2 linked regions of the Macaca mulatta genome follow. The protein of the gene in region 2 binds, or shares a complex with, the protein of the main gene of each other region. Links are inferred from orthologs where the notes say so. Each region holds a gene or a part of one and is shown on either strand. Other genes may lie near its edges.

The links. The genes of interacting proteins can lie anywhere in the genome.
Region 1: HNRNPH2 (region 2) and PA2G4 share a complex: the UniProt entries of both Homo sapiens proteins name them as parts of the ribonucleoprotein complex. The link is inferred for Macaca mulatta from reciprocal best matches to the Homo sapiens genes HNRNPH2 and PA2G4.

The regions. Positions count from the first base shown.
Region 1 is NC_133416.1:63,258,657-63,266,588, reverse strand, and holds the end of PA2G4 (proliferation-associated protein 2G4), read right to left. Parts: intron 7,231-7,932; coding exon 7,167-7,230; intron 6,619-7,166; coding exon 6,540-6,618; intron 6,077-6,539; coding exon 5,998-6,076; intron 5,917-5,997; coding exon 5,783-5,916; intron 5,507-5,782; coding exon 5,412-5,506; intron 5,288-5,411; coding exon 5,160-5,287; intron 4,996-5,159; coding exon 4,942-4,995; intron 3,672-4,941; coding exon 3,606-3,671; 3' UTR 3,605-3,605; intron 3,512-3,604; 3' UTR 2,590-3,511; downstream 1-2,589. UniProt on the Homo sapiens protein: May play a role in a ERBB3-regulated signal transduction pathway. Seems be involved in growth regulation. Acts a corepressor of the androgen receptor (AR) and is regulated by the ERBB3 ligand neuregulin-1/heregulin (HRG).
Region 2 is NC_133426.1:108,300,341-108,308,456, reverse strand, and holds the end of HNRNPH2 (heterogeneous nuclear ribonucleoprotein H2), read right to left. Parts: intron 5,227-8,116; exon of another isoform or gene 5,206-5,226; 5' UTR 5,153-5,205; coding exon 3,803-5,152; 3' UTR 2,986-3,802; downstream 1-2,985. UniProt on the Homo sapiens protein: This protein is a component of the heterogeneous nuclear ribonucleoprotein (hnRNP) complexes which provide the substrate for the processing events that pre-mRNAs undergo before becoming functional, translatable mRNAs in the cytoplasm. Binds poly(RG).

The DNA of each region.
Region 1 (7,932 bases), on a different chromosome or scaffold from region 2:
CAAAGTGCTGGGATTAAAGGCATGCGCCACCACGCCCAGCAGGTTTGCTTTATTTTCTTTTTTTTTTTTTTTTTTTTTTTTTTTTTTTTTTTTTTTTTGAGACGGAGTCTCGCTCTGTCGCCCAGGCTGGAGGCTGGAGTGCAGTGGCGCGATCTCGGCTCACTGCAAGCTCCGCCTCCCGGGTTCACGCCATTCTCCTGCCTCAGCCTCCCGAGTAGCTGGGACTACAGGCGCCCACAACAGCGCCCGGCTAATTTTTTGTATTTTTTTTTAGTAGAGACGGGGTTTCACCGTGGTCTCGATCTCCTGACCTTGTGATCCGCCCGCCTCGGCCTCCCAAAGTGCTGGGATTACAGGCGTGAGCCACTAAAATAAATTGCTTCAGGGTGATTCGATTCCGGAACCATCGAAGGTCCTAAGATTTCAGAACATAGGAAGATATAAAGTGGGGATTCGGGAAAGCTGCCATACTTCAAAAAATATCCTTTCACTGTTTAAGATAGAGCAATTCTTTTTCCTAAACTTCAAGAATAAAATAGCTGACTATGGTCTTTCCTCACGAAGCCTGAAGCAAAATATCACTAGAGATTCCTGGCTACAATGTATCATTTGTTCAGAAAATACGTCAGCGGGCCGGGCGCGATCATCCCAGCACTTTGGGAGGCTGAGGTGGGGGAATCTCGAGCCCAGGAAGTCGAGGCTGCAGTGACCTATGCAGTGATTATCTAGGGGTGAAGAGCGAACCAATGGACATAGGGAGAAAATTAGCCAAATCTAGGGAAAGTATGACATTTGGTGTTAAGATAAAGAACTTCCCACTTTGATTGCATGCTCAGGTGAGAAGCACTGAAAAACAACCAGATCCCCTATTTGGCTACAGGAAAGTTTTGAGTTAATGGGGGATGAAAAAGAACCCTTTCCCTAGAGACTTCATCTTATAGTTCAAAATACTGTAACATTTTGTATGTGATTGTTACAGTCCCTCTTTTTTTGTGGTTTCCCTTTATTATATTCTATAACATTTCACTTTCAATCCCTGAAAAACGTTTTTAAAATTAGGTTCCTTCTAAGTAGTTCTAGTATTGTCACCACCCAAACATATATGACAAGTTTTTTGAAACAAAAAAAATCCTATCAGAATTATTTTGTATCAATTCCACCAAGATTTCAACTGATGATTGCCAACTGGTCTATAAGCTCTTTTTTTTTTTTTTTTTTTTTTTTGAGACGGAGTCTCGCTCTGTCGCCCAGGCTGGAGTGCAGTGGCCGGATCTCAGCTCACTGCAAGCTCCGCCTCCCGGGTTTACGCCATTCTCCTGCCTCAGCCTCCCGAGTAGCTGGGACTATAGGCGCCGCCACCTCGCCCGGCTAGTTTTTTGTAGTTTTAGTAGAGATGGGGTTTCACTGCGTTCGCCAGGATGGTCTCGATCTCCTGACTTCGTGATCCACCCGTCTCGGCCTCCCAAAGTGCTGGGATTACAGGCTTGAGCCACCGCGCCCCGCCGTCTATAAGCTCTTTAGGGAAATTGTTTTGTTTTTGATACGGAGTTTCACTCTTGTCACCCAGGCTGGAGTGCAGTGGCGCGATCTTGGCTCACTGCAACCTCCGCCTCCTGGGTTCAAGCGATTCTCCTGCCTCAGCCTCCCAAGTAGCTGGGATTACAGACGCCTGCCACTAAACCCGGCTTTTTGTATTTTTAGTAGAGATGGGGTTTCACCATGTTGGCGAGGCTGGTCTTGATCTCCTGACCGCAGGTGATCTGCCTGCCTCGGCCTCCCAAAGTGCTGGAATTACAGGCATGAGCACTTGACCGTTTTTTTTTTTTTTTTTAAATAGACTTAATTTTTTTAGAAGTTTTAGGTTCACAGCAAAATTGAGGAAGGTTAGACATTTCCCACACATATAGCCTCCCCCTTTATAAACATCCCTCCACCCTGCCAGAGTGGTACATTTGTTAACAATTGAACCTACGTTGATATACCATTATCACCCCAAATCCATAGTTTAGTTTACACTACAGTTCACTCTTGGCATTGTACATTCTTTGCCTTTGGACAAATGTGTGAGCAAGGAGAGAGGGATGAACAGGCAAAACACAGAGGATTTTTAGGGCACTGAAACCACTATTTTAATGGTGGATATACGTCATTAGACATTTGTCCTGCGTTCAGTTCTGTTCACTTGTAGTATCTCTAGTTTAGCAATGCCTGACATGCACTAAGATAAACTAATTACCCATCTGACCTCAGTCTGGCCCTGAAAACTAGTGTACCAGACATTCTTCCTGGCTTCCTGAATTCAAGATAAACACTTGCAGTGCTGTTTTTGCAGTACACATTAAGTGTCCTAGCCCCAAACAAATCTTAGCAGTGAGGACTGTTTCTACTTAGAAAATTACATCACCCAACTCCAGCAGATAACTTACTATGTCATCAAAGATTCTAGGATTTGTGTCTTCTGCAAGTCAAGACATTGCTCGTTTTGGGAAGGCAGAGCATGGCACTGTGGAGGAACAGTTCCAATACTACTTCAACTGACATTCATTCTCCCCATCTCCATCAAATAAGAGCAGCATACAAAGCACATCATTATGAGCAAATCCAAATTTATTTTAATGTCATGTCATTTTCAATGTGTTTAAAAACCTCATAAGTTAGTGGGAGCCCTAGTTTCCTGGGACAGCATGCCAGAGGTACTGAAATTTGTCACCTTTCTCTACAAACCCCCAGCAATCCAATCCAAGTCCATAGCTTCAGAAAGCCAGGAGTTGTATCTTCAGTCAGTCTACTCCTCTGGTTCTTGGTTTTTCTTTCAAGGGAGGGAGATCACAATATTTCAAACAGGGAACAAAACCAGTTGAGCTTCCAGCTCAGGTTTGTGTAAGATGGAGTGAGGAAAGACCCCACTGACTCCAGAGAAAAGGGTAAGGTTGAGATGGATTATTTCTTTACAGCTTTGTGAAAATGGAAGAAAAAAGATTTACAAATGAGGATCCATTTCATAGATGAGAATCTCTTCATAAATGAAGGCTCCAGCTCCTAAAATGGGAGGGGCCTGACTGGACAGCCTGAATCAGATGAGGAATCGGCCACACTGAATAAAAACAATCTGAAAAATAATCCTCCTAATTTTGAAGCCAGATAAAATACCTGGGGAGAATGGAAAAAAAGAGGAAAAGGCCCCAAACAGATGGAAAAATGCTGACATCAGAGTGGTATAAAAAATTCAGCTGAGTTTTCAGTGGTGATGGCTAATTTAGCCCTGTTCTGTAGTAGGGCACAAACCTTGACCAAGCATAGTAGTAGAAAAGGCTAGAAAGAGGGGCTTGAAGACGATGAATTTTGACTCCTGATTTTATTATTCAATTTCTTTTTTTCATTTAAAGTAGTCTTCCGTGGTTGGGAAGCCTCGCCTCCCAAGACCAGAGTCAGTTGGAGCTGGTTGTTGTTGGAAGGGAGTGGGTTGGGGAACTGGGGTGGGGGCAGGGAGACCCCCGCTCTGCTGGCGGTCCTAGATGGAGAAGAAGAACTGCACTTCACAGAGTCTGGGGTGTGTTGGGAAGGGGATGAGGCAGGAGCAGCAAGCTGGGGAGATGGGACCCACCTCAGTCCCCAGCTTCATTTTCTTCTAATGTTTCCCCACTGGTGGCATTCTCTGCAGTCTTGGAGGCCTATATGCAAGAAAAGGAGAGGGAGAAGACGTGTCAGTTTCTAACTATTTGGGGGTAGTGTCTGGGACCAGAGATAAAAGTGTTTTTTTTTTTCTGAGACAGTCTCACTCTGTCGTCCAGGCTGGAGTGCAGTGGTACAACATGGCTTGCTGTAGCCTCAACTTCCCTGGGCTCAGGTGATCCTTCCACCTCAGCCTCCCAGGTAGCTGGGACTATAGGCACATGCCACCATGTTGCCCAGGCTGATCTTGAACTCCTGGGCTCAAGTGATCCTCCTGCCTAGGCTTCCCAAACTGTTGGGATTATATGTGTGAACCACCACACCCAGCCATAAAGTTATCTCAATCCTCTGGGTCACAGATGAAATAAAGATATACAGGTCTCTGACTTATAATGGTCAACCTGTGATTTTTCAACTTTACGATGGTGTGAAAGCAATATGGATATTTCAATACATGATAATTTGTTCAATAAATGTTTTGAGCACACTGAAGGTAGGCCAGGCTAAGCTATGAGGTTCATGGTAGGTTAAGGTATATCAAATCCATTTTGAGTCAGGCATGGTGGTGGCTACTCAGCAGGTTAAGGCCAGACAATCACTTGAACCCAGGAGAAGCATGAGGCTACAGTGAGCTATGATCATGCCACTACACGTCAGCCCGGGTGACAGAGTGGGATCATCTTTTTTTGAGACGGAGTTTCACTCTTGTTGTCCAGCAGAAATGGTGCGACCTCGGCTCACTGCAACCTCTGCCTCCCAGGTTCAGGTTCAAACAATTCTCCTGCCTCAGCCTCCCAAGTAGCTGGGATTACAAGCATGTGCCACCACGCCCAGCTAATTTTGTATTTTTAGTAGATACAGGGTTTCTCTACGTTGGCCAGGCTGATCTCAAACTCCCGACCTCAGGTGATCCGTCCGCCTTGGCCTCCTAAAGTGCTGGGATTACAGGCGTGAGCCACTGTGCCTGGCCAAAACAAGGCTGGGCATGGTGGCTCATGCCTGTAATCTCAACAGTTTGGGAGGCTGAGGTGGGAGGACTGTTTAAGGCCAGGAGTTTGAGACCCTGTCTCTTAAAAAAATATATATATATCTTAAAATCCATTTTGACTTATAGTATTTTCAATTTATGATGGGTTTACTGGGACAAAGGCCTATCATATTAAGTTGAGGAGCATCTATACAAACATCCGTATCCCACTACAACCTAACACAGTGGGACAAAGAGGGATCAGGTTCACCCTGCCAGGGAAGGATGATAGTAAAACACACCTTCTTTTTTTTCTTTTTCTGGGTTTTTCGACTTGCAGAACTCTGGAGGAGGGCCTGGAAAACAGGAAGAAGGAAAAAAATTTTGAGGAATGTGGAGGAAATTAAAAACAAAGGGTTACTTTCAGTACTGTAGCTCTCTTCAGGACTTTGCTGGCATTTAGCCCTCACTTCCAGGCAGGTACCATGTACGTATTTACCACCTTCTATTCCACACTAACCTTTAGCTCTGCATCCTGGACCTCCATCTCAGACTTGTAGAGGTCAGGTTCAAAGGGACCACTGGTTATCCGCATGGGGCCATTGGGCATGAGCAGAACTGTAAATTTAAACTGGGCAACAAATTCACCTATGGCAAAAATGAAGATGTGTTTCGATAAAAAGTTCCTTTGTCATACTTAGCTCTTCTGAATTTATAGGAAGGATATCATATAATCAGGGAATCCAAAGTGAAGCTCCTTTTTAGAACTCACCCTCCTTCTCATAGAGAACATTAAATGGTTGCAGCAGTTCATGTTTGGCGCACTCCACCACACCCATCCGAGCCTTCTTCTCATCTTCAAATGCTCTGGCAGGGAAGATGATATTCAGAGGTATCCTTAACTCCCCGTCAAGTCTTACCATTTTGCTCATATTTTAAAATAGCTCCTACCCTCAGGCAGAAATCATGCTTAGGATTGCTCTTTTACATTACCTTCAGTGAGAAGGAGATGGGGAGAGAGAGGGAGGGAGTGAGCACGTGCACGCTACAAGTCTAGGCAGGAAGGGAGAGGAAAAAGTGTTCCTGGGTGTATGGTCTGTGAGTCAGACTGGTTCCATGTACTATCATTGCTAAGTGTAGTACCTTAAAGTAAACGGCATAGCATCAAAACGCCTTTCCACCTCACTGAAGAAGGCACGTGAAGTTTTCATTTTCAGTCCATACTGTTTAGAGGGGTCTCGTTTGTAAATAGTGGTTCTCTGTCCTGCATCCTTGGCCTGAAAGGGTAATTTAAGTAACATTTGGTCTGGTGAACACTCTCAGTCACCCCTCTTAGCCAACTCTGGTACTCTCCTCACCTTGCCCTCTCCTGAGCTGACGAGAACATCCACAGCATATACTTCATGTACCTCAAATTCAGCTTTTTCATGGTCCTTCCTAAAAGGAATAGAGAGAAAGGGAACTTTTTTTTTTTTTGACACACAGTCTCATTCTGTCACCCAGGCTGGAGTGCAGTGGCACAATCTCAGCTCACTGCAACCTCCGCCTCCCAGGTTCAAGCAACTCTCCTGCCTCAGCCTCCCAAGTAGCTGGGACGACAGGAACACACCACCACGCCTGGCTCATTTTTGTATTTTTTAGTAGAGACAGGGTTTCGCCATATTGGTCAGGGTGGTTCCGAACTCGTGACCTCAGGTGATCCACCTGCCTCAGCCTCCCAAAGTGCCGGGATTACAGGCATGAGCCACCATGCCCGGCCTAGAGAAAGGAAATATTAAGAGCAACAGGTCACTCCTGAAAGCATGGAGTAAAGGGTAGACAAGATTCAGTTGGGAGTATAGAAAAAAACCTGATGACTAGTCTGGTATGGTAGAAGGTGATGAATAGGGTTGGCACCTACTTCTGCTGGTCTGTGGGATTCTGGATAATGGTTTTTTCTCCATCGATGACATGCTGCTTCAACTGGTGTGACAGCATACCTGTAGACAGGACACAACCTATGGAACGAGCTATCCAGTATCCCAAAAGATTTCCAAATCTACCTACTTCAGTAGTTTGAAGGGGTAGGCAGTGAGAAAACTACCTGGTTATGGAAACACAGGGCCCTGAGATTTCTGGCTTAGACTGGGTTATAGCTGGATAGATCTTCAAGGGGGCAAAAGCCTCAATTCTGCAAAGCGACTCATTCTTTTTTTTTTTTTTTTCTGAGATGGAGTTTCGCTCTTATTGCCCAGACTGGAGTGCAATGGCGCGATCTCAGCTCACTGCAACCTCCGCCTCCCGGGTTCAAGTCTCACCACAACCTCCCAAGTAGCTGGGATTACAGGCGCCCGCCACCACGCCCAGCTAATTTTTGTACTTTTAGTAGAGACGGGGTTTCACCATGTTGGTCAGGCTGGTCTTAAACTCCTGACTTCAGGTGATCCACCTGCCTTGGCCTTCCAAAGTGCTGGGATTACAGGAGTGAGCCACCGCGCCCGGCAAAGCCACTCATTCTTAGACCCTCAACCCTGTTATCTGTTCTCACCTTCTATTGGCGTGCAGTTAAATGAGTGGGCAACTTTGTTCCAGGCTTCTGTCACTTGTGTGTTCTAGAAGTACAACATCAAACAAAAGGTGAGATATCAGGAGCTAATAAGTTCTCTACAATGAGAATAAGAAGCATAAAAGAACTGAACTGAGCATTCTTTTTTTTTTTTTTGAGATGGAGTCTAGCTTTGTCGCCAGGCTGGAGTGCAGTGGCGTGATCTCGGTTCACTGCAACCTCTGCCTCCTGGGTTCAAGCTCTTCTCCTGCCTCAGCCTCCTGAGTAGCTGGGATTACAGACATGCACCACCACGCCCAGCTAATTTTTGTATTTTTAGCGGAGACGGGGTTTCACCATGTTGGCCAGGATGGTCTCAATCTCCTGACCTCGTGATCCGCCCACCTCAGCCTCCCAAAGTGGTGGGATTACAGGCATGAGCCACCGCACCTGACAGAACTGAGCCTTCTAATATCGTCCATCAAGTCCCAATGATACTCATTCACTGGTTTTTCGTTTCATAGCTTGATTATCCTTACAATCTAAAAATATTTTATACAGATGCTCCCCAACTTGCAATGGGGTTATATCTTAAAAAAACTCATTGTAAGTTGAAAATATCACTAAGTCAAAAATGCATTTAATACACCTAACCTACCTATCATAGCCTAGCCTATGTTAAATGTACTCAGAGCACTTAAAAAACATTATCCTACAATTGGGCAGAATTATCTAACATATGCCTATTTTATAATAGTGTTGAATATCT
Region 2 (8,116 bases):
CTTTCTCTAATAAATCTGCCTTTCTTTACCTACAACTGTCTTGGTAAATTCTTCTACCCCTGCACCACCAGCCCAGTTAGTCGACACTCCCCCACGACGATAACCCCTCACCTTCCCAGCGGAGCCCTGCACCATGCTAACCTGAGCCCCTTGGACTTGCCTGCTTTGCACTCACGAGAAGACAATTTTGGTCAGTGTGGGAGCAGCTTGTAAAGGGCTCTTGTGACACTCCCGGCCTGGTATAAGGCACAGCAAGTGGAATTTCCTTCCATCAGCAGCTGTTTTGCAATAGCCCTGGAGGCCCATCTTGAAGAAACCTTCATTTTAGCTGACAGCGCTAGGAATTCTACCTGATGGAAAAGGAGCTTGATTTATAAACACGTTCACAATGCATTTTCATATCACTTTGCTGGGTAGAGAAGGCAGAGAAGATATGTCATGCTTACACATGGAATTGTCTTTGTTTTGGTTACTTCCTTTAGGGTTGGATGAGTGAATGCAGGAATCAAAGAATGGGTGGATAACGGAATCCATGTATCCATCAGCCAGTAGTTCCCTGCAGCAGAACCACCCTGAGCACTTGTTAAAACACAGCTTATTGGCCGGACAGAGGTTCACACCTGTAATCCCAGCACTTTGAGAGGTCGAGGCAGGAGGATCTCTTGAGCCTAGGAGTTCGAGACTAGCCTAGGCAACATAGTGAGATCCCGTCTCTATAAAAATCATTTTAAAAATAACTGGGCTTGGTGGTACTCACCTGTGGTCCCAGCTACTCAAGAGGCTGAGGTGGGAATATCGCTTGAGCCTGGAATTCAAGGCTGCAGTGAGCCGAGATCACACCACCGCACTCCAGCCTGGGCAACAGAGCGAGACCCTGTCTCAGAAAAACACAAAAAACAAAACACAGCTTGTTGGGCTCCACCCCCAGTTTCTGATTCAGTCGTTGGGGGAAAGGGGGTGGGGCGGGGGGGCAAAAAATAATCTGCATATCTCACAAGGTGGAGGTTCATGCTGTTACTGATTGGGCACCACACCCAGAGAACCACTGGCACAAGCCATCCGATACTCTTAGGCCGTGATAATTGTGGCTGCAAATTTTCTGCCTGATCCTGCCAAATAGCTCACACACGCAGTTGAAAATAAATCCTCTGACTCAGTGTTTGGGGGGTGTTGTGGGTGGGCTGCCCACTCTACCTCCCGGCACTTTCCTGGGTAGTAGTGTTAGATGTGAGTGTTGGAGCACGTGTGGTGGTGTGTGTGCATGCGTGTGCACACCAGCTATACTGCTGTCCCTTTGGAACCTCTAGTGCTGACCACTGACCTTCTCCAGGTTCTCTCCTTTGCTCCCCAGAGCCCTTCTGAATTTTCTTATCCAGCGAAGAAGAGTAAGTGAACATTTAAGATCACAAGGAGCCCTCCATTGTCTCCTGGGATTTGGTGCCATCTAGTGGCTAACTTGAGAATCTTTGCTCAGACTTAGAGAAACTTCTGGAAAATTAACTAAGTAGCCTGGGAAGGCAAAAACACCTACTTGTTTACCCTCTGAGAAAGGCTTCCTGGACAAGGACTGGCTCAACATGATAGGAGTCAAAATGGGTTTCTTGCTCTCCTGAAAGCTGTGATAAAAATTAGAAGTCATCAAAGAATTTCAATCACGTCCCACTGCATCTTCAGCTTGAATGATTTTCCAGAATTGATTTTCATTTCCTGAATGAAATGGAGTCAGGTAATACCAACTTGGTATTTGCCTCCCATCTCATTTCTCTGGGTCCCAAGCTCTGAACAGCCCAAGTATAGCAATACAGTTCCCAAGGGGTCAGTGAAACTACAAAGAGATCTGTAGTTCAAGATACAGTTGGTACTGATCAGAGGGACATTGGGGTCTTAAAGTCATTGAGGGGTGGAATTGTTAATGACCACTGTGATCCAGACAAAAATCTAAGACATCAGCACACAATGCCACAGGTGCTCAGAATCCTCATGAGAGGTGCAAGGTATTGTAAACATGTGGTTTGGACTTTAATAGAAAACTTAAACTACTTGTTATGGGAACAAAGGGGAGGCGATCAGGGATCATAAAGGAAGCTGCTCCTTAAAGTTGTTTGGGGAACTGTGATGGGTCTCAAAACATGGTCTTGAGACCAGCAGTATCAGCACATTCTCAAGCAACATCCCAAAACTACTGAACTGTAAACTCTAGGGATGGGGCCTAGAAATGAATGTTTAAACAACCCCTGCAGATGATTCTGATGCACATGAAAAGTTTGAGAACGCTGGTTTAAGATAAGCTTTAGATGCCCTAAAATACACCTGAGAGTGTTTAGAGAATCTCCTAATGAATTCATGGAGGAGACAATTTATTTCCTTAACATAAGCCTGCTTCTTTTTTATGTTTTGTTTTTGACACATAATTGTAAGCCTACTTCTTTTTTAACATACAAAGGTGCCTTCTAGTTTGTGATGAAATACAAAGGATTATTTATTCGCTTTCACTTCTTTGGATTTTAGAGAATACTATCTTGGTAAGTGGCTCCAAAAGTAGCTCAATAGTCCTGTAGACATGGTAAGTTTTTTTAAAAAAGAAGAAAATGTTCAACTTTAATATTAATCAAAAAAATACAAATTAAAATTGCAATGAGATATCATTTCTCAACTAACAGACTGGCAAAGATCACAAAGAATAATGTGCATCAATAAGGAGGGCATAAGGGGGAAAATAAAGCACACACTCCAGGTAAAAAGATAAAGTACCAGAATCTTGCTGGTAACACAAATCAGAAGCCTTAAAAATGAGTGTATCTTTGACTCAGCAATCCCATTTCTAGGGATATATCTTAGAAATAATTAATGATATATGCAACAATGAACATATAAAGATGCTAAATATATTGTTTATAATTTTAAAATTAAAAATTTTAATTTTGAGGGAATTATAAAGTCAATCAGCGTGCCCATATGACAGAACATAATAAAAATCAATCAGCACAAGATTTTTTCCAGTTTTTAAAAGGAAGATTTATTTAACAAGTTTCACTTAGTACAATACATCTAAATGGAAATCACAATACAAGGAAAGATTTAAACCAAAGCCTCAGAATTTCATACAAACAACACGACCAAACTTCTAAAGTATTGGTATTACATCTTAAAATTGTCCCGTATCCTTCAAAAAAAAAAAAAAAAAAAAAAAAAAAGTGTACACTCACGTGCCTTACAGGATATTAAACCAAAAAGCTAGAATTAACAAACATGCCAAATGTTTTCACTTTGAATCGTAGACACAGCTCCTATATTTGAGTTTTACAGAAAAGCATGTTTCTCAACATGCATCCGAAGTTTTCAATGTATTTGTGGTATAAGAGCAACATTTAACATAAGTGAAACTGCATTAACCTAAATACGCTTACTGCTTAGGTACACTCCTACAACATAACTAACTTGAGGAAAGCTAAAAATTGTTTTAACAGTTATGGTCAATACTGAACTTTGTTATTATGTCCTAGATGAATGTTTCAGTGTTCAAAATTACTGAGCTTGAAGTTTTAAAATAATCTCAACTTCCACTTTACAGTAAGCATGAATCACAAGCCTGTAATGCAAAACTGTTAAACTTAACTCTTGTTTTCTTAAAAAAGGAGAAAGAAAGATAAAGAAAGAGAAGCTGACCAAGAGTGATCAGAATCAATTATATTTCCCATTTACCAATCATACTGGATATACTAGACATCCCTCCCATTCTATTCAACTCCCACAAATGTACAGCTTTTATATATGGAGTAGCTGTTTGGTGCTCCTTCTCTACCTAAGCAAGGTTTGACTGATAGTCACTGGAATTTTCCTGCAGAACTTGGTCATATCCACTCATACTGCTCTGACCACCATAACCACCTCCATAACCACCACTCAGCTGCTGGCTAGCAGGACCTCCATAACTAGACTGGTTGGATAAGCCCATCCCTCCCATCATTTGGCTACCATAAGCCCCACCACTTGCCCCTGCTGTAGAATTCAAAAAAAGTTCTACATAGCTGTGATCGTAAGCACCCCCACTTGTTCCTGCAGTAGAATTTAAGAAGAGCTCCACATATCTATGTTGCATATTAGCTTTGTCTTTTGCCATAGCTGCCACAGCATCTTCATGAGTAGCAAATTCAACATCTGCCTCACCAGTAACTCTGCCATCGGGTCCAATTTCAATATGTACTCTCATGGGATTAAGAGGTGAGAAGAAATTATAAATATCATTCTCAGTGGCTCTGTAAGGTAACCCCCTCATGTGTACACAGTGCCCTGTGGTGCTCTGGAAACTGGACCCACCATCTCCATATCTATGATCAGACATTCCTGAAAAACAGTAATTGAGGTCTCTTCCAAATCTATCAGACCCAAAGCCATATCCATCATTATAGCCACCATAGTCATCATAGCCTCCATACCCTCCACCGTAGGCACCACGCCTCATCCTTTCAAACCCAGCTCCTCTGCCAATGCTATTATACCCTCTGCCAGCCCCCGGCCTATCATAGGGACCTGGCCGCTGCATAGCCATGAGCTTTCGAGGGGGATCATAGTGGGTTCGAACTTCAGCTCGGCTACTCTTGAAGATCTCAATGTACCTGTGCCCTATTCTTTCCTTGTGTTTCTTTAAGGCCTTCTCAGCTATCTCCTGCGAAGCAAACTGCACAAAGGCTTCCCCTGTGCTTCGCCCCTGAAAGTCCACTGGCAGTGTCATCCCATTTGGCACAATTTCCAACCCTGAAAAGAACTGAACAATCTCTTCCTTGCTACAGCCAAATGGGAGTCCTCTAAGCCGGACGAAGCCATCGTTGGCAGTATCAGGGCTATTCGGACCTGTATGCTTCAACACCCAATCCATTTCAACACTGTTAGACTTGAATACTTCAACGTATCTGTGTCCCATGGTTTCTCTGTCCTTCTTCAAAGCCAATTTCACTTCCTCTTCAGATTCAAGTTCAACAAATGCTTCACCACTTGGTCTGCCTTCTCTGGTGTAGATGAAACGAATACCTGATGTGCCATTTTGGATCTTGCAATCAGAGAAGAAGCGCATCACTTCATCGGCTGAGCAGGACCAGGGTAGGCCCCTGACCTTCACCACGAACCCCTCCCTGCCTTCCGTGCTCAGCATCATGGTGACTGTTGGGCTCTTGGTGGCAAGTTTGGCTCAATGCAATTTTAGTGTAGCTGAAAAAAAAAATTAGAAGACTACTGTCATGGAAAAATGCCCGTGATATAGTAAGATAAAAAAGCAAACTATTAATAGAAAATTCAACTATGCTGACAGCTTTTCTGTAAGATGTCTGTATAAACAAAGAGTTCACCAAATTTTTAACTCATTCATTTTTTAAGTTATTTATTCAATGCCTATTACATGTTGGATACCATTAAAAATTAATAGCAATCGGCCGGGTGTGGTGGCTCACGCCTGTAATCCCAGCACTTTGGGAGGCTGAGGCGGGTGTACCACCTGAGGTCAGTAGTACCACCTGAGGTCAGGCGGGTGTACCACCTAGAGGTCAGAGACCAGCCTGGCCAACATGGTGAAACCCTGTCTCTACTAAAAATACAAAAAATTGGCTGGGCGTGGTGGCAGGCGCCTGTAATCCCAGCTACTTGGGAGGCTGAGGCAGGAAAACCACTTTTATGTACCCAGGAGGTGGAGGTGAGCCGAGATCACGCCACTGCACTCCAGCATGGGCCACCAGAGCGAAACTAAGTCTCAAAAAATAAATAAATAAATAAAATAACATCAACAAATCAGTGGGATAGGTCAACAAATAAAAGATAGCTATATCTGAATATACACACATAAAAAACTTCACTAGATCAAAAGATTAAACAACAATTAAAACATTAAAACACAAACAAAACACAGGTTATATACGTTCTTTATATAATCTCCTTATATACAAATGTATGCAAATCAATAAAATCAGGGAAATATTTGGGCTTCAGAGATAAATGAAAAAAAGACATTATTGGGAATTCACACATTCATTTTAGAAATATTTTTTAGTTGCCATGTCCAATACTCAGCTCTGGCATACAAGAATCAATAAGCCCAGAAAGGGCTTATGATCCTACAGGAGCACCAAATATCATTATTAAAGATGTAAATGCAAATATACATTATACTTGCCATGACCCTCTGGGTGGGGTATAAGCATAGTATCAAGGAGGGACTAGTTGATCAGTTCTATTGGTTGGAGGTCAAATGGTTAAATGAAACAGACTAACCTGCCCAGGGATCCATAAACGATTTTTTAAAATTATGATAAAGCACAAATAGGAGAGGGAAAAGCAAGAGAAAAGGCTGGCAAGGCATAGATCAGATCCCAAAGACTTTTATGCAGTGCTTAGTTAAGACTGCATAAAAAAACTGGAAAAATAACATGGAAAATCCATAAACCTACCACTCAGAGTAACCACTAATATGTTCATTCTAACTTAAAAAAATCCCAGTGCAGCAAATTTAAAGAATTAAAACTGTATAGAAGTATATACACACTATATACACTAAGCACCTTTTAAGACTTTTAAACCGGGGAGTTTGTGGGGTGACTTCACCAAAACTCTTTCAGACAGATCACCCCGGCAACAGTGTGGTACTCAGAGGTGGAACTAGGGAGATTAGTTAGAACTTGTCTCTTAAATATACGTTAAAGGAATCGCCTAAGGCAACAGGAGTAAAATGGAGAAAAGCTATATCTACACATACCAAAAAAAGTGGAATCTGCGGGACTTGATAACAGATTAAGTATGAGAGAATACAGGTATAGGAGGATACAGGAGAGCAATCTGGGAAATGTTCAAATTTAATCAATCTTCCAGTAAGTTAAAACCAGAACTAATCATTATTTTTCACCCATCAAGATTATGGAAATTAAACGGTGACAGTAAATCAGTGCTATGCAGAGTTCACAAACTAATAATACACTACTAGAGGAGTGGTAATTGATATAAACTATTTCCTTTTTGATAAATCCCACTATATCCTGAAAGCAATTTGATAATATGTATCACGCCTTTTGACAGCAAATACATTTCAGTTATGTGCCCTAAGGAGATGATCTGAAATTCAGACAAAGATTTATGGAGCTATATATTCTTTGAAAAGTACTTTATTAAGAAAACTGGAATATTATGCATTTAATTTTAAAAGTTACAAAAATATTTAATAACATGAGAAATTACTTATGCTATAATTATAAGTGACCCAAGAGCACAGCTGCTTTACAATCTCAACTATGTACAAAATACATATTCCCATACCCTTTGACACTGCTAGAATCCTTCCAGGAATCTAGTCAACAGAAATACTTAGGAATGTTCCTTGCAGCACTGTTAGTAAAGGCAGAACATTGGAAAGCTAAATAGCCATCATTAGAGGAATGGCTGAATGAATTATACCTTATCCTTAAAATGGAATGCAATGCAGCCATTTAAAAAAAAATCTATCTGCCTTGACCCAGAAAGATCTCCAAAATACACTAAATGAAAGAACATACATAGTATGATCCTACTTATAGTAAAAGATTAGCATGCATGTATATACGTATGTAAATAAATAAAAGAAGATCTGGAAGCAAACTTGTTTTTGAGAGAACTGAAGGGTAGGGGGAGTGAAGTGGGCTTTTCGCTTTTTACCCTATATACTTCTATACAGTTTTAATTCTTTAAATTTGCTGTACTGGGATTTTTTTTAAGTTAGAAAGAACATATTAGTGGTTACTCTGAGTGGTAGGTTAATGGATTTTCCATGTTATTTTTCCAATTTTTTTATGCAGTCTTAAATTTCTACAGAAATAATTACTTTTACTTCAGCAAAAAAGCAACATAAAACAAATTAAAATGTTTGCATTTCTGGGATTTGGTATAGGAAATTTTATAAAATTGTCCAATTTTGAATGTGGATGGTTATCTGATATGGTCTGTGAGCATTGGGCCTCTTGGAAACAAAGTACAAAGTGTAATAACGGCCATAAAACTACACTGAGGAAACGATTTAACATTTACTGATTGCATATTAAGTGCCTAGCAGACTGCATCTGCAGTGATAACAGTTTTCCTATTAACCATCCTAAGGTCTCAGTGA